Sus scrofa: one gene and its partners. The protein of the gene in region 3 interacts with the protein of the main gene of each other region in a pairwise test. Links are inferred from orthologs where the notes say so. Each region holds a gene or a part of one and is shown on either strand. Other genes may lie near its edges.

The links.
Region 1: the proteins of CWF19L2 (region 3) and NAB2 interact in binary tests that used the Homo sapiens proteins (3 or more experiments, as listed by UniProt). The two-hybrid records come from large-scale screens. The link is inferred for Sus scrofa from reciprocal best matches to the Homo sapiens genes CWF19L2 and NAB2.
Region 2: the proteins of CWF19L2 (region 3) and MEOX1 interact in binary tests that used the Homo sapiens proteins (3 or more experiments, as listed by UniProt). The two-hybrid records come from large-scale screens. The link is inferred for Sus scrofa from reciprocal best matches to the Homo sapiens genes CWF19L2 and MEOX1.

The regions. Positions count from the first base shown.
Region 1 is NC_010447.5:22,397,721-22,405,368, reverse strand, and holds the start of NAB2 (NGFI-A-binding protein 2), read right to left. Parts: upstream 5,095-7,648; 5' UTR 4,822-5,094; coding exon 4,739-4,821; intron 3,297-4,738; coding exon 2,423-3,296; intron 1,999-2,422; coding exon 1,865-1,998; intron 1,508-1,864; coding exon 1,456-1,507; intron 1,362-1,455; coding exon 1,229-1,361; intron 1,009-1,228; coding exon 817-1,008; intron 1-816. UniProt on the Homo sapiens protein: Acts as a transcriptional repressor for zinc finger transcription factors EGR1 and EGR2. Isoform 2 lacks repression ability.
Region 2 is NC_010454.4:19,428,726-19,436,354, reverse strand, and holds the start of MEOX1 (homeobox protein MOX-1), read right to left. Parts: upstream 4,953-7,629; 5' UTR 4,489-4,952; coding exon 4,020-4,488; intron 1-4,019. UniProt on the Homo sapiens protein: Mesodermal transcription factor that plays a key role in somitogenesis and is specifically required for sclerotome development. Required for maintenance of the sclerotome polarity and formation of the cranio-cervical joints.
Region 3 is NC_010451.4:36,054,595-36,062,131, reverse strand, and holds the start of CWF19L2 (CWF19-like protein 2), read left to right. Parts: upstream 1-2,414; 5' UTR 2,415-2,415; coding exon 2,416-2,508; intron 2,509-5,632; coding exon 5,633-5,743; intron 5,744-7,537.

The DNA of each region.
Region 1 (7,648 bases), on a different chromosome or scaffold from region 3:
TCTTAGCAGTGTGTAGCTCTCGGTCTTTGTAAGTGTCTCTCTCTTTCTCGGTCTCTCCCGCCTCCGTTCTGCTGGAATTTCTGGTTCTGTCAGGAGCTGCGGGGGCGGGTTGGCTGTGACCTCTCCCCCTCCCCCCTTCCCAGGCTCTGCCGCCCCCACTCATCCCTGGCCTCCTCCCAGGCCCTGCCTACCCTACCATGCACGCCCCCCCCCCCCAGTTTCTTAGAAGCCAAATCAAGGGGATCACAGGAAGCCAACCTCCCAGCTCCTCCCCCAAGAAGAGCCCCTCTTTCAGTCCCCGCCCCCACTTCCCACCCACACACAGTTTAAAAATACCAAGCCAGGGTTGGTGGCTTTGTCTGCTGCGTCACTCTCAGCCCAGCCGCTGCCCGGCCCTCTGCTGGCCTACTCCCTCACTCCCCCTTCCCCCATCCACGCACCAAGCATACCCCTTTGGGCTCGTCCAATTCTAAGCTGGCAACCTCACCCCTACTCCTAGAATGCTCCACCCTCCTGTGTTGGTAAAAGTTCTATCCAAGCTTCTCTTCTTGATGACCCTCCTTTTCCTGCTCCCCAGTTCCCCCTTCAGAGATGCCCATTAGGGTCAGACCCTCCCTATTGGGAACAGCCCTCCAAGGGCTCCCCTCTCCTCAACCCAAGGCCTGGTTGGCTGGAGCTCCACCATCCTTATTGCCCTCTCTGGTGACTACATCCCTCTTCCTCCCACCTGGCCCCAGGACACCAGGATTGCTGTGTGTGTTGGGGGAGAGCCTGGGTGGCAGGGGTGGTTGGGGACAGCACTGCTGGCTGCCTCACCTGCGAGAGGCGGCTTCGCAGGCACACAGGGGCTGAGGCGGCCCACGCGGTCATGGGAGACGAGGCGGGCTAGCCGCAGCCCCTCATCCATCAGTGTCTGCTGCAGGATGTGGCGGCTCCACAGCCCATGGGCTGGCAATGCCAGAGGCAGGTCAGCAGGGGGCGGCGTCAGCCTTGGGCATGACCCCACAGCTGTGGGCATGGGCACGGGTCAGGTAAGGGACCACAGTCCACGGAACCCCCACCCTCAACTGCAAAGCCAGACCCATAGGCCCAGGCCCATTTGCCCCCATCCCGCCAGGCCTCCCAACCATGTTCCAGGGAGTTGCCTCCTGGCGCCCTCCTCCCAAGCTTTCTACCCCTGCGCTCCCCCCTCCCCAGTGGCCAGAGAAGTGTTCCGAGGCACACTCACCCTGCAAGTGTCCATCCAGGCTCTCCCCGGACAGGCTGGCACTGTCTTCCTCCAGGCTGGGGCGGTATGGGGGTGCATAGGACTCAGGGCCTGAGGGAGGCTGCTGGATTTCAGAGTGACTTTGCTCACCAACCTGTAGAGGCCCCAAATGGGGAAATGAAAACCTGGCAAGGGAGGGGACCAGGGAAGGCTGCCCTAACCCCCTATATGCACCCTGGAAAACCTACCTCTTGTTTCAGTTTCTTCAGTGGGGGGCCTCCCAATTCTTCGGGGTGAAGCCTTCAAAGATGGAGAGGAACAAGGAGAGTGAGGCTGGGGAAGGACAAGTGGTGGACAAGACACAGAATCTGGGGGGGGAAGAACACGCATTATTTCCAGAGTATGAAAAGATGCTGGCTAAGCAAGTCTCCAGCTCAGGCACCATTGTTGGGGGGGGGGGGGCAGTGGGGGGGCACAGTGGAGGCCTGCAATGGATGGGAGAAGGGGCCAGACCTCAGATAAGTGGACTTGGCCAAAGTCAAGGACACACAGATGGGGGAGAAGCAGTCCAAGAGGCACCTGAAGTAGAGATTAAGACATGACCCAGCTCCTTGGAAGGATTCTGATCTAGGAAGGACCTAGAGAAGGGAGTCTCACCTGGAGCCCTTCAAGGAGGACAGGTAGGTACTCTCTCGGGCCACCTGGCGGGACAGGGAGAAGAGCTCCACCCTCCGCAGTAAGAGCGTGTTGTCCCTCATGCAGAACTGGGCAGCAGCCTCATTGATGGTCAGCTGTGGAGAGGGCGCCAGCGCAGTCAGAATCCTAACTCACCCAGCACCTTGCCCAAACCTCCTCTCTCCCCTTCACCATCAGACAAGCAAGGCCCAGCCATCAGATGCTTGCTCGGGTTCTGACACTACGCAGGAGCTTTCTGAGGGAGGAAGACAGAGGTCAGCACCCAGGAATGCCCAGGGCCTCCTCCACTCCTGTGGGGTTCTGAGCAGCATGGAGGACAGCTGGGCTTTGCTTGTGTCTCTGCTTCCGCCTCAGTTGAGGAGGGAAGCACTGCAGCAGCTGGGGTTGGCTGGGGAAGGGATCAGGGCCTGGGGTCCTGGTCAAGGTCAATGAAACAGACTTGGGGAAGTGATCATTCTCAGAGATGAGTGGGTCAAGGCCTGGGAGTCAAGAGCACTCCTGGGAGGCTGGGATCCTTACCTCATGTAGGCTGAGCTGCTTGCCCTCCCGCCGCTTGGAGTCAAAGCGGCCATAAATGATGCTGTATTTGCGGATCTCCTCTTCCTTCTGGCTGTCGTTATCGTCCATCTCAAAGATGTGCCCCACGCTCCGTGCCAGCTTCTTGTTCAGCTTCAGCAGGGACGTTACCTCCCCAGCATCCCCCCTCGGGAAGCTTCGGAAGATTCTCTCCACGCTCTCCACCACCATGCGTACCATCTCTGGCTCCAGCCGATCCGGACCGCCCCCAGCCCCAGCTGCTGCCAGCCCCCCAGCCCCAGTCCCCTCGGGGACTCCTCCCCCTGCAGGTGGGGAGAACGGGGGTGAGCCAGACTCGTCTTCTCCTCCTGCCCCAACATCGGACTCTGGAGTACTCCGGCCTGGCCAGATCCGGGGGTCCCCTGCCCCAGGTCCCCCGGGCAATGGTGACAGCTTCTCTCCAAGTTCAAGGGGGCTCTTAGGGCTAAAACTGCGGGCACTGCCCGCCTTTTCCCCAGGACTGCCATGCCCGTTGCTCATGCTCCCCTTCCGGGACCCCGAAGTCTCAGAGATCTTGAAGAGCGGAATGCTGGAGACGGGCACGGCGGGCACTGGCTGGCTGAAGAGCCCTGGATTGGTGGCCCACTCTCTTAGTGCCTTCTGTAGGCGTCGGACATGGAGAGGCTTGGTGGCCATGCCCACGAGTGCCATGATCTCCAGGAACTCCTCCTCACCCGCCTCACACAGTTGCTGCACGTCGTCCCCTCCCTGCTGGATGAAGGTCTCATAGTAGGAAAGGAGATTGGCGCGCTGCAGGACCCGGTACAGCTGCAGCTCCCCCAGTGTCCGAGGCAGGGCCATGGCTCGGGCACTGGGCCTGAGAAGGAGGCACAGGACAGAGAGGGGATGGCGGTCAGTGCAAGTCCTCCTTGCTGGGTACGAACACACGTTCACGGTTGTTTTCTCTTTCCCACCCCTCTTCCGAATGCTCTCTCTGCCCAGTGCCTAGGTCGGAGCCCAAACCACAAGAACCAACCACTGCTCAGAGTCACAGCCATGCTAATGCCATCCCAAACTGGCCAGAAGTACTAAAAACCATACTGGTCTTTGTGGAAGTCAAAGGCTCTGTTCCCCCATCCTCAACTTTTACTTTTCTGGCCTGGCACAAGGAGACCTTGCGCGCTGAAGCCAGCCAGCACACCCCGGTGATGGCTGGACCACCCTCTCCTCCAGAACACAGTCCTCGTCTTCCCCCCAAACACCCAGCAATCTCAACATTACACAAGTTAGCTTCCCACACTGAGGTGAATGTATGAGCCCCCACCTCCCTACAATGGACACCTGGGCAGCTTTATTCTCTGGTGGCATTATGCTCATGTGGCTGAGGCAGAGGGTGTGGCTTCCCTGCCCTTTTCAGCTCAAGGAGCCAAGCAGACCCCTACTCTGCTACCTTTTCCCACCTCTGCTAAGCCTTCCCCAAGGATTAGGCATTTTCCTGCTGTCTCTCCCCAGAACCTCCCCCCTCTTCCAGACTGCCCAGTGGCCCTCGGTTGGTCCCTCTCCCAGCAGTGACCTTCCCACCTGCTCCAGAGGTAGGCCCATCCCTTCAGCTCAGGCACAGGGGAGGGGAGAAGTGCCTCAATTGTTCTGCTTTGCGGCCCGTTCCGCCCACACACACTCCCACGGTGGTAGCGTCCGTGGGCGAAAACCGCCGGGGGGCTCCCGCCTACCCCTCTCTCCCTTTTTCCATCCACATCTTCAAGTGGAGTGGGGGAGCGACTCAAGGCCTCTTGAGGGAGGGGCTGCACACCGAAACTCCCCTCCCCACTCTGTAAATAAAGGTACGGAAATGGAAATAGACGCCTAAGGCACGTCCTGCTCCTGCAGAGCCGCTCTGATGCGCTCTTGGTTCAAAGGCGCCGACTTCTCCCGACCCCAAAGCGGCGCGCTCCATGCCAACCACAGATTGTGCCAGCTGAGCGGCTCTTCCCCAGCACTGTTGCCAGCTAGAACTCCAGGGCTTCCCCTGGCACTTAGGAGCCCCCACATTCTTTGCAGGGGCTCACAGGCCAGGTCATGCTCACAGAGTAAACGAGGAATGGAGAATTAGATACTATTCCTTCACATCCAGCTTCATCAGATCCCTGCCTGCTCCCATGGCCCCCTAATTCGAAGGCGCACCCCCTTTCCATCAGTCTCCACCCCCCACCCCCGTCCCTCTTCCCCTAGTCCTCTCCTCGACCTCCGCCCTCCGGACCCCTTTCCCCGAGTCCAGCTCCACCCATTTCCACTCCCCGCCGCTTCCCTTTGCCCACTTACTTGAGTCTGGGCTGAGGGGTCCGGCGGGCGCTGTCCCCTCCGCCCGGCGGCTGCTCGGCAGTGGGGGAGGGAGCTCTGTGCATGGACGGCTGGAGACCACCGGGGATGCCCCTCTCAGTGTCCGGCGCTCGGCGCCTTCTGTGTGCTGCGATCTTCCTGGCGCGCGAGGCCGTGTCCGCCGCTGTCCGGGCTCCGTCCCTTCCTCCACGTCTCCTCTCTCCGAGCCTCCGCGCCTCTGTCTGTGCCTCTACCCCCCCCCTCCCCGGCTGCGCTTGCCGCCTCTCCGCGCCTCCGCCCCCGCAGGACGCACGGGGAGCGAGGCCCGGCGCAGCACTGGCTGCCAGGCGGGCGGAGGGCGTGGGCCGAGCCGGGGGCGGAGGCTTGTGGGCGGGGGGCGGGCGCCCGGGCCTCTCGGCCGGCGGTGGAGAAGCCTCAGCAGAGAGGCGGAGAGAGGCGGAGAATGTGGGGAGGGGGGTGTGGAGCAGGAGGCGGGGGCGGGGACTCGGCGCCAGGGCGCCGAGTTGGGGACTAAAGTGACCGAGGCCGGGCTGTGGAAGGCGGGCTTGGGGACTCAGCGGGCGGGGCGAGGTCGCTCGGAGCCGCCTACGCCGGATGCACAGCCGGCCTTCTTCGCGCCCACGTACCCACGTGAGCGCCCAGCCGGCGACATTCTTACTCCCACTCCTCCTTCCCCTCTGAGCAGAGAGCGGAGTTTCACAACCACGCACAGGTACACAAAGACACAGAGAAGCACACCGACGGGCACACGCGCCTAAACAACTACCCGGTCGCCTGCTGCCCACACTCGGGCTTCGCGGTGCTATACGTGTGAATGTTAGGAGTGAGCCAGGAAAAGTTGGGAGACTGGGGTGCGCGGCTCCTCTCGTGGGTGCTTCTGACTCCCGTAGAGTGTGCACTTAGGACAGATCTGTGAACGTGGAGCTCTGCAGGAATCCCTCACAGATCCTCGCACTCTTCCCAAACCACGTCGAAGTTCGGGGAACAGAAATGGGCGGGGTTTGCCATAACCTGCTGCTTAGACGCGCGTCTATTAGTCGCGCTGGGTTGTTAGTGCTTAGGTCAGGCAAGGATGGGAGGGGTATCCTGCCTTCTTCCGCTAGTAGCATCCTATTTGCTGAGAATGGGGACCTACCTCTGGGGAATTCTGTGTGGCAACTTTGGGAGGAGGATACCCCTTCTAGGGACGTCTGTGAAGGTATTTCGCCGGAGTCAAGTGGGAGACCGGCGGAGGCCGGGCGCGTCGGACGTGGCTCCCTACCGACGTGGCTCCCTACCGAGGAGTAGGAGGGAGGAGCTCCTTCAAGGAGCTTTGCCCCTCTCTGCCACCCACCATCCCTCCCCTTTCTTTTTCCCAGCCCCATCTGGTTCCCATTACACTCCCGCCCACGGCTGAGAGGGCCGACTGGCGGGGTCTCTTAGAGCCCGGCCCAGCGGCTCTACGCCCCGAGGAAATGAAGGAGGAGGGGCGGCAAAATTCCCCCTAATCCAAAATCTCAGCCCCACCCATCATTCAGCACTTCTGAGTGGCCCGGGCCAGCAAGGAGTGGGTAGCGTGGGCCAGGGCTGGTTCTACATTCCGGCCTGGCGAGGGGACCCTCCCGTCTCCGGGTGGGACAGGAGAAGAGAGGTGCACCACTGGGGGGAATTTCAGTAGCCAAGATTCTCTTGTCCGTTCCATGAAGCCCCCAAAATGGGGTTGGAGGGTGATCGGGAGCGAACCGAGTCCTCGGTTCTACAACTGGAGGGCGCGCCTACACCGGCTCCCGGCGGAGACACTCCTCGACCCCTCTTAAATGTGTGGGCGCCCCTCCCCCACTCTCTCCCGGTTATTTTAGAACCTGGGCGCCAGCGGCTGGCCCGGGGTTTCCACGTGCCTCCTCCCTCCCTCTGCCCACGCTCCCCGTGACGCACATCCTCCGCCCACACAGTCTCTGCTCCAGGCGCCCCCCTCCCTCCCACCCGGGCCCCCTAGGGGCGGTGCTGAGCCCCCGGATCCGAAGGGAGACGCTGGCTGGCCCGGGGAAGACGGCTGAATAGGGCGTGAATCAAGGGGGCGGTGACCAAGTGGGCGCCGGGCGCTAGAGTCCCGGCCCTGGAAAGGAGATGAGGGAGGAGCCTATTCTGGGGCCTGGGCTCCACGGTCCTGGGGCGGGTACTAGGCCAGAGAGAAAAATTGGGGGAGAAAAATCCTTTGCACTGGCTCAGCCAACTCCCCTAGGGATCAGAAGGGATAATTTCTGAGTGCGAACTTGTGTTTGAGATTGAAACTCCGGGGTGTTTATATCTTTGTTTCTCGGGTGTCGTGAGGGTCAAATGAGAGGGTGTATATGAAAACTCTGTGAATTGTGAAATGCTAATAAGCAAATTTAAGACGCTAGTGCCAGTTGGTGCCTCTGTACCCTGAGATTATGTATTTATATGCTTCTTTACATCGACTTGTGTGTCTGTGTCTCTGTCTCTCTCTAGGTTTGTGAGCCCCTCTGTGTGGATTTAAAAATATGCACATTTAAAAAATCATTGACTTGTCAAGCCCCGCCAGAGGCCCAGACGCCCCCGCAGCCGGAGCTGCTGAGATGTCTGTTCTTCTCTTACCTCCCACTCCTACCACCTCCAACTCCCCTCCTACTCCCTTCCGTTGAGAACAAGGAATTTCCAGCCTTTAGCAAATGGAGACAGAGACACAAAGAGACTGGGACTATGAAAAACTACAGAAAAACAATAAAGATAAGAGACAGGTGGGGGGAGGTTGACAAAAAAGGGGTGGGGGCAAATACAAAAATCTTAATTTCTTCTCTTTTCTCCCTGGGCCCCATTTTCCCCAGTGTGGCTCAAGCCACTTCACTACCCACTCACCTGCTTCACTCTCCCACCCCCCCATCCCGTTACCTC
Region 2 (7,629 bases), on a different chromosome or scaffold from region 3:
CTGCAGCTTTCACGGAAATGATGCTATGTACAAGTAAAGAAAGGAAGGAAGGAAGGATGGATTCTTGGAGTAGGTGGCTTTCAAAATAAGTGGGCAGAGGGTGTTTGAAGTAAGAGGGAAGCACTGAGAAAACAGGAGTGTGATGGGGAGAAAAATCGGGGTGTGTTTGCAAGGCTGCTCAGCGAGGTGAGTGGAGGTGGAAGTGGGAGGGTAGCCTGGAGTTGGAAATCAGGTAGGAAAGAGGCCAATCTGTGAAGGGTTTTTCAGCCTCAGGGGAAAAAGGGTGCACGTAGCTGGGCAGGTGCAAGTGGCGATCAGATCTCGTGGGGAGGAAATCGGGGAAGGAGGAGCCCTGGGGGACACACGTGTTGGAGCTGCCGAGGGGACAAAGCTAGTCTGCTGAAGGCAGAGTGAGTACATGAGAGCGTCGGTGATCAGAGCTGCACGGAGCCCGGGTATCCAGCCCTCCCAGGCGGGTGATCTGTTCACCTGGAGCCCAACTGATCACGAGCGACCTTCCCTTGAACCCCATCAGGAAATCACCGCGAAATCCTTCGTTCCCATAAATTCAGGATGACCACGGTAGCCACGACAGGCTGGGGGCAAACGATAGTGGCCTCGCAGCTGTCCCTGCCAGCAGGGGTCTTTGACACCCCCCTGGCCCTGGGGAGGGACTGGTTGGGCTGAGTTAACATCCACCAGTCTCTTAAATCAGTCTTGTGCTGTGAACTGACAGAAGGTCTCAGGGTGGGGGCCAGGGAGCCCCACTTTCCTGAGCAAATCGGCTTTACTTCCACTGCCAGGCAATGACGGGGGACAGTGGGGACTGTCAGACAAAGGACAGGGGAGAGCAGAGAACGTTCCTCTTGAGACACCTCTCCGTTATGCACCCTCCTTGGCCAGGTCAGCCGGTGTGGGATGAATTTACCTGGCACAACTCACCCCCTCACCCCAACCGCTCCAGCAGATCGCTGAGCTCCAGGCTCCTAACTGGTGGCCACTGGATTTCAGGACAATAATGATGGCAAGAAGTTCCCCCATCTTACGTCCCAGACTCAGGAAATTCTGAGACAACATATTTGAAATATTCAATTGCACCATCCCCATAAACACAGGGCTATCTGTCAGATTCAGTGTTGACTTGTTCTGCACATATGGACCTCATACCACTCAGTTTATGGAACTCACATGCCAGGCACAGGGTTAATCTTAGGAATCACAGCATTTGACCTTCGCAGTGACTCCATGGGGAAAGTGATATCGTTAGAGTCCCATTTTACAGCTGGGGAAACAGGGGCTCCGAGAAGTTAAGAGCTTCCCCAAAGTCATGCAGTCAAAGGGACCGTGCTGATCCTGCAGCTTGGCTGCCTGACTATGAAGCACCATGGAAAAAACGTTTCTGCTCACTGCTGGTTAGCCTTCCAGAGATAGTTAGCAGGGGCCAGGGTGAGGCGCGAGAGGCACTCACATAATCAAGAGAAAGAATATTTTAATGTAAATTTAAAAAAAAATCAAAATTAATACCCAAAGTCCACCATGAACAGACTGTCAAAATTTCGAATAGAGAATCCAGCCAATGGCTCAGGATTGGAAGGGTGGGGTGGGGGTGGGGGAGTCTTTGTGGGTTTGTGTCTCGTGAACTGAATTCCAGATTCCTGCAGTTGGTTGTGAGCCCTGCTCATTGGTTTCCCTTTTCTTCAGGCGCTTTCAAAGCTGATCTTTCTTGCCTCCTTCCCGTTCGGTTAAATTGCAAAGGAAGATGCAAGTCACGGGCAATGAGGATTTCCATGCTGACCTGAGCGGGTCTGGAGCGCCCCCCCCACCCCCCGAGAATGAATGAGAGTCAACTTGCTGTGCCCTGCTTTGTGACTGCTGCTCCTCTGCTGCTTCTGAGGGGACTTGGAGGGAGAACCCAGGGCCCCTCCTGGCTGGGAACCTCCCCCGACCAAAGACAGACCCTCTGAGGAAGGTGTCTTTGTGCCCTGGGGTGGCCAGCTGCTTAGCACATGAGCAGCGCCATCCATGGGCCACTCGCCGAAAGGAGAGACGGTACATTTGGGTCTCGCCAAAACACGGAATGATCTTGCCTACATCCAGCCCTTGGCTTTGCCCGAGTCTTCCCAGTGCCCTTGGCTCCCAGGTCCCTGGATGCAGCCAAGGTGGATGTGGGCAGAGATGGAGGAGCTACGGTGGCAGGCGCCACAGAGGGGAGGGCTCTTCAACGAGGTGCAGAGCCAAGTGGCTGAGAGCTTCTTGGAGAGGAGAAGCAGAAATGCCCCGTTCTCGGCACATCTCCAGCCAAGCCTAGGAATAGGTCAGGATTTAGCCGACTGGGGACTTAAAGGGCCCGTCTACTGAGCAGCCTGGAGGGCTGTGGTTTTTATCATTCATTGCAAGCACACCGAGAGGCTTCTTCAAGCCTGGAGACCCAATATTTCAAAATGAAGAATTGTGCTTGAAATCTACCGAAGGGGGTGGGTTTGGGGTCTGAAGTCTGGGGTTTGAGTTTTCTTCTTGGGTGACTAACTGTCCCTGGGGTGCTGAACTTTCAATGCTAAAACTGGAAAAGTCCTGGCTTCCTTGAGATGAATGGGTCGTTCTGTTTTGACTCCTTGCTAGCAGTGCTCCCCTCAAACTTTTAAGTTTCTCCTTTTCCACGCCTAAAGAATCAAGTCACTGATAAGACCTGCTGTATCAAACTCGAAAACCTGTGGGACTCAAAAGAGCTATGGTATGTTTCCTGCAGCACCTCGAACCCCCTGAATCAGAGCACATCCACTGCCAGACAGGCACCTGCTGACCTCCCCTCCCTCTCCGTTTGCGCTCTTTGGAGGTGGGAGTGAGACCGCCTTTTCATCTCTGCAACCCCAGGGCCTCTTGGCAAAGAGAAGATGCTCGGGAAGTCTGTGCTACGTTGAAAGCGCTTTGTAAAGCAAAGCGGAGCATGTTTTCTTTGGTTGGCTGCTCCTCTCATTTTCAGCCTGCCCCTGGTGAGCCCCAAGAAGGGTCCTCTGTAGGTTCAGACAGTCAGATGTACCCCGAAGCAGTTGTCAGGAAGACACAATGGGGCAGAAGGGGCAGGAGGCCAGGGCACTGTCTTGTGCTGTGTGAGATGGGGGAGGGATCCAGGCCAAAGGTGAACAGGAGGTGAGAGAAGCCCGTGGTGGGGGGCTAGGGGGGGTCCCACTGGGAGATGAGGAAAAAACAGGTCCCCACCACGGGGAGGAGATGGACTTTAGCTGGGATCTTAGCAAGCAGCCCAGCTCCAGCCTCTGGCCTCGGGGGCTCCAGCACCAAGCTGGGCGTTACCTTCACGCCAAGATCCAGTGCTTGCCCTCTGCTGCCTGCCTCCCTGATTCTCTCTGGAGGGCTCCTCAGAGGGGCAGCCTGCCCTGGGGGTCACCCAGACCTTAGCAGGCTGAGCTGACCCTTTGGCCTGGGCCTGGCCTGCTGGGTAGGGTGGTACCTCCTGGGTGGTCGGCCCCAAAGCTCAGTGCTTGCCTCTTGCATCCCCGCCCTGTGCCTGCTCCTCTGCCTCCTGGACACACAGAGTTCTGGTTCTGCTTGGCTGCCCAGGGTCCCAGCCTTGATCTTAACCTTCCAAGTCTCGGTTTTAGCTGATGCCCCTGGGAGCAAGTCCTGGGGCTCTGGGACTGTTTGGAGCTGGCTGGGGTGTGGTGGGGAGAAGCATGACCCAGAGGCAGCCCAGATGCAGGAAAGCCCCTCTGCGGCCCTTGCCAGCCTCTACCCAGAGGCTCCCTCCCACATGCCCTCCAACTCGATGTGGATCCTGTTTCATTCTCTCGCTGGCACATTTTTCTGGGGCCCAGGAAGGCTGGGGACATAGTCATAGCCCCCATCACCAGAGACTCCTGAAACTCCGAGGTAACTGGTCTAGTCCCCGCCTCTGATTAGGTTAGATCCCAATTTACGGTCAGGGCACCTAGGCTCAGAGAGGGCAAGCAACCGCCCCGAGATCACACAGTAAAGGAAACGTCAGCTGTTCCCCAGCCACCTACCTGAACTCTCCTTTTTCCGTCTGGTTGACTTCTTCTCCGTCTCATTGGCACTGCTCCCAAGGACCTCGTAGTCCTCGCCCGGGCCACCCGTGGTGTCCACCAGGCCTGGGCTGCGGGCCCCCATCTCCTTGGAGCCCCCCGCCGGGCCTGGGTTGAGCCTCCGCCGGGCCTCCGAGACAGGGAAGGGCCAGTCAGGGGGTTGTGGGAAGGCGGGGTGCTGCTCAGTGAAGAGGCGCTCCTCCTGGGGCAGGCTGTGCGGGGTGGCCGCCAGGCAGGAGGCCGAGAAGTCAGGGTACGCTGTCGTCGCTGTCGCTGTGAAGTCTGGTTTCTGGTGGAAGGAGAACGGGGTCGGCGGGTAGTGGGGGAGCCCTGAGGCCCCGCTGCCTTCTGAGTGGGGGTTTCGAAGGCAGCCCCAGACCGGGGCTGGGGGGTGGGGGCCCCTCATGCAGCTGCTGGCCACTGGATCCATCTGTCGTCTGCCCCACGTCTCAGTCCTTTCAAAGGCTGGATTGGTATACTTTATACTCAATTTGTTAAAAATGCAAAAAAAAAAAAAAATTTTTTTTTTTTTTTTTTTTTAAACAGAAGAGAAAAATGTTCAACAGAAAAATTCCACCCAGGACCCCAAACAAACACCAAAACTAAAGTCGCTCCTTACGGTCCGCACACAGGTGGCTGGCTCCACACACGTGTGTACACACCTCTATCAGACTTCACTCCTGGCTTCCTGGCCCCCCCGACGCACCAGCTTGCCTATTGGGGTCCCCTGTACGTGTATGTGTCGCTGATGACACTCAACATTTTCACTGTCCCAGCCCAGACGCACCAGCTAAAGAGCGCTTGTCCTGGAGCCTGCAGCAAACGCCTGCAGAGAGCTGGTCCAGGGCTGCTGAGACACACTTTTAAATCCTGCGGTGGGGAGAGAGTGACAAATTTCTGAAGTGAAATGTGAGAGAGGAGAGGGAGGGGTTAACCAGCACACACACCATCCCCTCCAACCAAAACCCGAGCAGGCAACTATTAATCATCAGAAACCTTATATGCACATCTAATGGGATTTGCAGATGGAGTCTTTTAAAGAAACATTGTCTGTATTTTTTTTTTTTTTTTTAAGGAGAGAGAGCAGCACACACACAATTTCTTTAATGTGCCTCCTATAACACTATGAAGTTATTTTATTGCACTGTTAACAAAATTCCCCAAGTCTCGGATTTGGAAAAAGCCTTAAGTCAGATCCAGCATCCATCAAGTGCCAAATTCCAGGGAGTGAAGCTGGGAATAAGTGCAAGAGACAAGTTTGCTGATTGCATTTGATTTAAAGGCCCTTCTACTGCTGCTTGGCAAAAGGAAGGTGGATTAAAAGAAAGCTTTTTTTGCAAGTCTCAGCGGCCCACTACCGTCTATAGTAGAAAGACACACTCTAGAAGAAAAAAAAAAAAAAGGGTTTCTCTCGGCCCAAAGTGACATTCTCACTTTCCCAGTAACTTAAAAAAACAATCAGATTCTTCCTTCCGCTCTTTAACCCCCAACTTACATGCCAATTCGCCACACTCATCTCTAGAGGGGTTTCAAGTCATTTTTCTCCATGGCAAGGGAAAGACTGTCAGATAAGTTCCTTGAAGTTCCTCCAGGCCTCCCCCACCTGCTCTCTGGCCTCCTAACCTTCACCCACCTGCTTCCCCTAACCCCCAGAGGCCAGGGTTTCCATGGAACCTGGGCATGGAAATAGCAATCAGGGCGATTCTCATTCCCAAAGGAGTTCTCTTCGGCACACAGTTGCATGGTCTTCCAGGCTGGTGCCCGTCCCTGGAGGCCCCAAGGCCATTTCAACCGTCCAATTAGTCCACTCAATCCCCAGGCCCTGCTGGTCTCTCTGGAGGGTTAATATAATTTCCTGGAGGGGGAGTTCCCATCGTGGCTCAGTGGTTAATGATTTCAACTATGAGCCATGAGGTTGAGGGTTCAATCCCTGGCCTCGCTCAGTGGGTCAAGGATCTGGCGTTGCCGTGAACTGCGGTGTAGGTTGAAGATGCAGCTTGGATCTAGCGTTGCTGTGGCTCTGGCGTAGGCCGGCAGCTACAGCTCCGATTCGACCCCTAGCCTGGGAACCCACATACGACATGGGCGTAGCCCTAGAAAAAGACAAAAAAAAAAAAAAATTCTTGGAGGATGACATTCCAAGCACATGGGGTCAGAGCTCTTCTCTTACTGACTATTCCACAGCCCAGAGCTGCAGGACTGGGGCCGAAATGGGCATGGACCAGAAGAGTGCTATCCCTCTTGGCTGGTTCCAGAGATCCACAGGGTTCCCCAAGGAGGAGTCATGGGTCTCAGCACTGCAGCCTGGAGGCTGCACGAACGCTCTTCATGACCTCGGCATCCTGTCTTCCAGAACAGGCAGCCAGGGTGTTGCCAGCTAGTAGAGGAGATGTGGTCATAGCCACAAACCAGACTCACCTCCCCGCTTCGTCCAGGATTTACCTGTCGCACAATTTCTCCTCTGACCTTCGCAACTCTCCTATTTTCGGGAAAGTAAGAATTAGGCTTGGGAGTTCCCGTTGTGGCTCAGTGGTTAACGAATCCAACTGGGAACCATGAGGTTGCCGGTTTGATCCCTGGCCTTGCTCAGTGGGTTAAGGATTTGGCGTTGCCGTGAGCTGTGGTGTAGGTTTCAGACGTGGCTCGGATCCTGCATTGCTGTGGCTCTGATGTAGGCCAGTGGCTACAGCTCTGATTGGACCCTTGACCTGGGAACCTCTATATGACACGGGTGTGGCCCTAGAAAAGGCAAAAGACAAAAAAAAAAAAAAAAGAATTAGGCTCTACATTTTATAAATGAAGAAACTGAGGCTCAGATAGATGAGGTGAGCTGCTCAGAATCAAACTGATAAAAAATGGCAGAACCGGGAATTGTCCCCAGGGGTGTGGCTGTCCAGTCTGGAGCAGTTTGATGCAGAAGAAGGAGCACGGACTTTGGGGTTTAGACGGGTCTGAGTTCAATTCCAGGGTCTGCCACTTCCCTGGGCAAGTCCCCTCACCTCTCTGAGCCTCCGTTTGCTCCCCTGGCAGGGAAGTTATAGCTGCCATTCATCCACTGACCCTACTGCCTCACACGTGTCCTTCAATAGATGCCACAAAAGCCTTCTGAGGCATTTCTCACCTTCAGCATCTTTCAGAAGAGGATTCAGAAGCCCAGAGAGATGGTGTAACCTGCACAAGGTCACACAGCTGGGAAGTGGAGGAGGCTCCAGGATTCAAACCCAGGCAGCCTGGCCCCACGGCATTGGAATGCCTGCTGCCACAGACACTGGAGAATTTTTTTTTCTTTTTACATCTGCACCTGTGACATATGGAAGTTCCCAGGCCAGGGGTTGAATCAGAGCTACACCACTGCCGCAGCAATGCCGGATCCAAGCCACACCTGCAGCCTATGCTAAAGCTTTTGGCAACAATGGATCCTTAAGCCACTAAGTAAGTGGAGGCCAGGGATTGAACCCGCACCCTCACAGAGCCGATGTCAGGTCCTTAACCTGCTGGGCCACAATGGGAACACCCGAGGAATTTTACGTGAAATTGTTCTGCGGAATTCCTGTCATGGTTCAGCAGTAAC
Region 3 (7,537 bases):
TGGGAAGTATCATGGCATTGGTGCATAATGGGTGCTTTTTTTCTTTTTGTTTTTTTGTTTTTTTGCTATTTCTTGGGCCGCTCCCTCGGCATATGGAGGTTCCCAGGTTAGGGGTCCAATCTGAGCTGTAGCCACTGGCCTACACCAGAGCCACAGTAATGCAGGATCTGAGCTGTGTCTGCGACCTATACCACAGCCCATGGCAACGCCGGATCGTTAACCTACTGAGCAATGGCAGGGACCGAACCTGCAACCTCATGGTTCCTAGTCGGATTCGTTAACCACTGAGCCACGACAGGAACTCCGGTACTTCTTAACTGCAAGTCTAATTTTATTGTAAAGAGGACATGATGAGCATCAGGTTATATTCAGAAGCTGGACATTCTATGTTTCATTCCCTCCAGGACACTTATCACCCAAAAATGTGTGGTTTTGTGTCAGTCTGGAGGTTCTTGCTTTTCTTTGTCTGCCCTTGAACCCTTGCTATTTACAAGACATGTGTTCTTGCCACCCGGCCTGTGCACCTACACCGCCCCCTCCCTTCTCTGCTCATACCAAGCTATCTGCCTGCTATAACATAACCACAAAGAAACCTTGGACTAATCTGAGTGTCACTCTATAACAAAACTGTTCTGGAATCTTCATGATTCTTCTTTAGTTAGTTGTAGTCATGTGATCTATTTCTGGTTTATAAGATTCAAGTGGAAGAAACTGGATTAGACTTCAGGAAAGTCATCATTTTCCTAATAAAAATGGGGAAGGCTTAGGTGGCATACACTTTTTGGCCCTTGTTCTCCTCCCTTATTTCTATGTTTTAATAGGTGAATGCACAGATGTGAAGGAATGGAATACATTCCTTGCAAATATGAAGAACTTAAGTTACAGACTAAATGTTACAAAGCAGAAAAGGAGAAAAACTTTGTTCCTAGACTAGCTATCTTCAGGCTCCTTATTACATTACAACTTGTTTGATTAAACCATGTATTTCTATTAGGTGTGGCCAAATGCAAACTAGTAAAAACAACTTGCTTTACCTTACTTTTCTACATCACCCTCTCTACTTCCCCTCCTGATCCCAACTTTTTTTTTTTCCTGGAGGTTTTATTTGTATTGCTTAATATTTACAAAATATTTTATGCACAATTGATACCTTTATGATGTTGAGTCTTCCTCAAGCACACATTATGCTTCTCTATTTGTTCTATTTTTTTTTGTGCCTTATGTACAGTTTAAAAGTTTTCGTTAGATAATTTTGCTATAATTGCCATTTTTTCATCCTATAATTGATGCAAGGGGTTAACAGATGTTTTTCTGAATCCTAAGAGAATCTGAAAGAGTTGAATGATAGTTAGGTTAATTATGACAAAAATTAGTGAGGTCACAGTGGAGAAAATATTTCAAGGTCAATTCATAAATTAAAATCGCTTTTCTGTAACAAAAATGCAATGAATACATTCTATTTTGTATATCAAACAAATATACACTAAATGCTCAAAGTTAAGATCTTCATGGATTGGGGAAGTAGAAACTCCTGGGAAAGCTTCTTACAAACACAAATGTAGTATTATGAAAACTTAAAAAAAAATATTTACCTCAATCTAGTTTATGTTAACTATTTTAAATGTTTTTTTTAAAGTAACTAGTATATATTCTCCAGCCTTCTTTATCTTTGCGATTATAAATAAGCTCAGTGTTTTATATTCTCAAAGCACTTGATTAATGCTTCAGAATGTCTTATTCTTCACGGAGCTTAAAGTTTTATGTTTGGGAGCAATTGCACGCTGTGATGAAAAAAACGCTTGAATGGATAAGTATAAACAAATGAAGTCAGAAAAACTGTTGCACTTTAAGCACCTATAAATTATGAAGTGCCATGCAAATTCACATCTTTTTCATACATTGTACTTAAAATCCACCAAAAAAAACCACTGGCTCTTCAAAGCAATTTTGCCCTCCTGCTAGCGTGCACTGCCTTTCTGATAATCCTCCCCTTCAGCACATTCCTCCAGCACAGGGGAACTCAGGCAGGAAGGGCACCTTGGTGCAAATCTTCGAGGTGCGTACTTAACCTCTCTGAGTGTCTAATCTACTGCGGTGGTTTTAGGAGGACATAGCTAAGAATGCCATCGGTATGGTACAAAGTGCATAATAAATGTACACTAACAGTAACCCTGATCAGGGCAGTCTCAACAGATGAAAGTGGGCAGGCAACTCCTCAGATTAATCTTCCGTCCTCTCTAAACCTGGAAGTTGGACAAGTCCCTAGAATACTAAGCGACAGTCAGAATTGCGCATGCTCCGTTGGTGGAGCAGCACCCCTCCTTCTGGTCGGAAGTCTAGGTTTGTTTATTAAATTACGACAGTCGTAAACTGAGATTTTTGCGACAGCTTCTTAGCTTAACGACGACAACAACTATGGCGGCTGTCGGTGGTAGTTTTGAAAGTGCCAGGAGCATTGAGGAGCGTAAGGAACAGACCCGGATTGCCAGGGCAGAGGTGTTGCGACAGGTACTGCCGTTTGGGGGCTTTTGGCGCCATTTAGAATCGAGAGCGGAGGCTTTCTGGGAACCAGACCTCTGGCTTTCGTGCCTCCCCAACACTCTCCCTTTCACTCCGCTGTATCTTACCTCCGGTTGTGTGGAGGTAGTTGTCTCCCTTTGGAAATTCCTACAAACTCGAGTATCTTCTGCCTCCTGGGTGCTCCAGAAGCATGTTCCATTTGTTCATGTTTGTTTTTTAAGGAAAACTTGTTTCTTCTGAATTTCCTTATCTTTTAAACCGTTCATTCTTGACATTTTTAACACCTGGTCACCTGATTTGCTCACTTCCCTGGGACTCCACCACTTATAATGACTCTCTCTGAGTATTTTACAGCCTCAGCCCTCGCGCTTGCTGTATCTGAAATGAAACTTTCCGTTTTCAGGAACACATGTAAGGCATATTAGTGTGAAGTGTTTTACCGTTTCACTACCCCCCGCTCTTTTTTTTAACCTGTTTGTCTTGGCTTATTGTAATCCCTTACTGATCTTTACAAGGATTGAGACAAGAGACTTAGAATTCAGCCCCCCGAAAAAGGTTGAGAATCCTTGTATTTCTCATTGAGATGCGTGTAAAGAGTGGAGGAAGTAAACTGTACTACTGTATTATCTGACAAGATGTAAGAAGTGTGGCAATGAAGGGGAGACGTTGTGGTAAAGAACAATGTATGGTGCCATAAGTGAGGGCTTTTGTTTTAAGATGAAAGAGTTTAAAACGAGTTTAAATGCAGATGAGAGGGAGCCGGTAGAGGAGAACAAGGAGGAGAAGTATAATGACTACAGTAAAATTTTACAGAGGAAGAGAGGGCAGAAAGTCTTGGACAGGTGAAAGGTTCGTGTAGTTCCTTTGTTTCAGTAAGTGTAATATATGTGTGTAATAAATATCCTTCATCCTTGTCTCTGATGTTTCAGGCAGTTGTTGGAGGGAGTAGAGTTTGTAAGCTGTGATAAATTTTATGGTAGAGCTATGCACTGAGGGAGAAGAACCAAACCCAGCTTTGAAATTTGGGGAGAGAATGAAAAGGCAGCAACAGCCTCCTAGGAAGATCTTTATTTGACTGTTGTTGAAAAGATGAATAAAAATTAGCATTATGTGGGGTTCCTGCTGTGGCTCAGCAGTAAGGAACCCAACTGGTATCCATGAGGGCTCTGGTTCGATCCCTGGCTTCACTCAGTGGGTTAAGGATTCTGTGTTGCTCTGAGCTGTGGTGAGGTCACAGATGCAGCACAAATCCTGAGTTGCTGTGGCTATGATGTGGGCCAGCAGCTACAGCTTCATTCAACCTGTAGCCTGGGAACTTCCATATGCCACTGTGTGGCCCTAAAAAAAAAAAAAAAAAAAGAGAGAGAGAGAGAGACAAATTATTAGGATTATGATCATTTGTTTTCAGAAAGGAGATTCTTCTTGAAGCATTTTCGGTGTATGAGTATGTTCCCAAAGGTTAGTTTCTTGTCACAGAAAGAGTTCAGAAATGAGACAAATTAAGAATGAAAAGTGAGGATTTACTTCAGTGAGAAATACAGCTCTTAAGGAGAGGCTGCAGAGAGGTGACCAGCTGCCCCATGTTTTTTTTGGCACACCGGTTATATGGGGACTCCAATTGTATGGCTGGAGTTTGGGGTGTCGTATTCCTTAATTTTCATCCCACTTTCACCTTCCCGAAGGGAGGAGGGATTTTTGTCGTTATTGAAAGTGTCATGGCATCAGTGTATGATGGATACTTCTTATCCATATAGCTAATTTTATTATAATATAACGAGGAACAGATTATATTTGGACATTGGAGAGTTGCATCTTTTCCCACCTGTCTTTGTCAGCCTCCAGGGCACTTATCACCCCAAAAGGTGTAGTTTCCTATCAGTCTGGAGGTTGGAAGTTCCCAAGCTAGGGGTGAAATCATAGCTGCAGCTGTAGGCCTATGCCACAGCCACAGCAACCCAGGATCTTAGCAGTGTCTGCAACCTACACTGCAGCTCATGGCGATGCTAAATCCTTAACCCACTGAGTGAGGCCAGGGATGGAACCTGCATCCTCATGGATACTAGTTGGGTTCTTAACCTGCTGAGCCACAATGGGAACGCTGTTATGGCTTTTCTTTTTCTTTCTTTTTTTTTTTTTTTTGCATGTGTTTTTTTAGGGCTACGCTTATGGCATATGGAGGTTCCTAGGCTAGGGGTCAGATCGGAACTGTAGCCCCTGACCTATGCCAGAGCCACAGCAACACAGGATTTGAGCCTCATCTGTGACCTACACCACAGCTCACGGCAACGCCAGATCCTTAACCCACTGAACAAAGCCAGGGATCAAACCTTCATCCTCATGAATGCTATTTGGGTTTGTTAACTAACTGCTGAGCCATGACAGGAACTCCCCCACTTTTCTTTGCCCACCCATGGATCCTGCTGTTAGCATGATACATGATTTCCTGCTGTTTGGCCCCATTTCCCCCTTCTCTGCTCATGCCTAACTATCTGCCTGCTATAACAGGTATGGATATTGCAGTTTGACAGTGTCCTAACAGTTACAAAAGTATCAGGCATTATCAGTGGGATAGTGAAGGGAAAAGAGATTCAAGTCACATTTGAGGTAGGGAGCTTAGGGAGAGGGAAGGGTCTGCAATAGATCCCAGGAGTCTGTCCTTGACTGGTAGCTCATTATACTAGAGGTTGATAATTGGTAATGCAATTGGTAATGTGGGAGGAGATTTTTTTTTTTTTTTTTTTTTTTTTTTTTTTTTTTTTTGTCTTTTTGCCATTTCTTGGGCTGCTCCCGAGGCATATGGAGGTTCCCTGGCTAGGGGTCCAATCAGAGCTGTTGCTGCTGGCCTACACCACAGCTCACGGCAATGCCGGATCCTTAACCCACTGAGCAAGTGCAGGGACCGAACCCGCAACCTCATGGTTCCTAGTCGGATTCGTTAACCACTGCGCCACAATGGGAACTCCCTTTTTTTTTTTTTAATCTCTCTTACACTTTTGTAGAAGCAAATTCTTGGCAAGAAGGAGTTCATTCAAGAATGTTTTATGAAAGTGGAAGTTTCTGTTTCTGTTTGTGAAAAGAATGCAGATCAATTTTTCTTTTTTCACTGTTTTAGGCTAAAGCCAATTTTGAAAAAGAAGAAAGGCGTAAAGAACTTAAACGACTTCGGGGTGAGGAGACATGGATGCTACCTGATGTGAATGAGCGAGTTGAACAGATCTCACAGGTGAATACTAACAGGCTTACTTGATGTAAGCATATATGTCTCTTTTTTTAGGTACTTATTCAAGTTAATATTGGAGGATTAACTTTGTAGACTGTTTTTACAAGTACAGAATGAATATCACATAGTTGGCATTACCAAATATGGAAGAAGTAGTATGTTTTAATATTTTGGACATTATGACATTGGAAAGATTTTGTTATCTGAGTTGGCTGAAGGCTTAGCTTCAGAATAGACGGTCAATGAGGACCTGCTTTATAGCACAGGAAAATCTGCCTAATATTCTGTAATAACTTATACGGGAAAAGAATTTGAGAAAAAAATGGATACGTGTATATGTATAACCAGATCACTTTGTTGTACAGCAGAAATTTTCACACATTGTAAATCAACTATAATTCAGTAAAACTTGAAAGCTTAAATTCAAATTTCTGGTCCACTTGTAGCACGCTTATGGATCTAAAAATTTACGTGTTTTAAGCTTAATGTCATACTTTTATTTATTTATTTATTTATTTATTTATTTATTTATTTTAAGGGGGGGGTCCTTAATCCTTGTTTTCCCTTCTCACAATTTATGCTGTCTCTCTTGTTATATTTTATGGGGCTAATACTCTTCTGTTAATCCTTTTGGGGCCATTGAAGAGGATACACACACACACACACACGCACACACACATGTATATTTGTGTATATATGTGTTTACTTGATATCTGTCTATCAGTGTATCTACAAAGAAAACTAAAACTTCTCTCATTTTTCTAAGAAATCTTAGCTGTATGATTTTTAGTGCATATGTTATAGAAGCATGTTAAAGTTTCTTAGAAGATTTTGTTTATTTAGTCATAGTCCTCATCTCCTTTCATGAAAGATTTAAAGTTTTTTGGAACATAGATCTATCCCCAAGAGATTGGACATAGTTCCCTGTGCTGTACAGTAGGACCTCATTGCTCATCCATTCTAAATGTAATAGTTTGCATCTGCTAACCCCAAACTCCTTGTTCATCCCACTCCCTCCTCCTTCCCCCTTGGCAACCACAAGACTATTTTTTATATCTGTGAGTCTGTTTCTGTTTTGCAGATAGGCTCATTTGTGCCATATTTTAGATTCCACATGTAAGTGATATCATACAGTGTTTGTCTTTCTCTTTCTGACTGTATTTTGTATGAGAATCTTTAGTTACATCCATGTTGCTGCAAGTGGCATTATTCTTTTTTATGGCTGAGTAGTAGTCTATTGTATGTGTGTGTGTGTGTGTGTGTGTGTGTATATGTATATATATGTGTGTGTATATATATATCTGTATGTATATGTGTGTGTATATATATGTATGTATTTACCCATTCATCTGTTAATGGACATGTAGGTTGTTTCCATGTCTTAGCTATTGGGAATCATGTTGCAATGAACATATAGAGGTGCATGTATCTTTTTTCACTGAAAGTTTTGTCTGGGTACATGCACAGGAGTGGGATTGCTGGATCATACAATAATTCTATTTTTACTTTTCTGAGGAACTGCCATACTGTTTTCCATAGTGGTTGTACCAATTTACATTCCCACCAACAGTGTAGGCGGTTCCCTTTTCTCCAGACCCTTTCCAGCATTTGTTCTTGCAGACGTATTAATGATAGCTATATCTTACTGTGTAAGGTAGTATCTCATTGTAGTTTTGATTTGCATTTCTCTAATAATTAGTGATGTTAAGCGTTTTTTCATGTGCCTAATGGCCATCCATATGTCTTTGGAGAAATGTCTGTTTAGATCTTCTGCCCATTTTTTGATTGTTTTTTGTT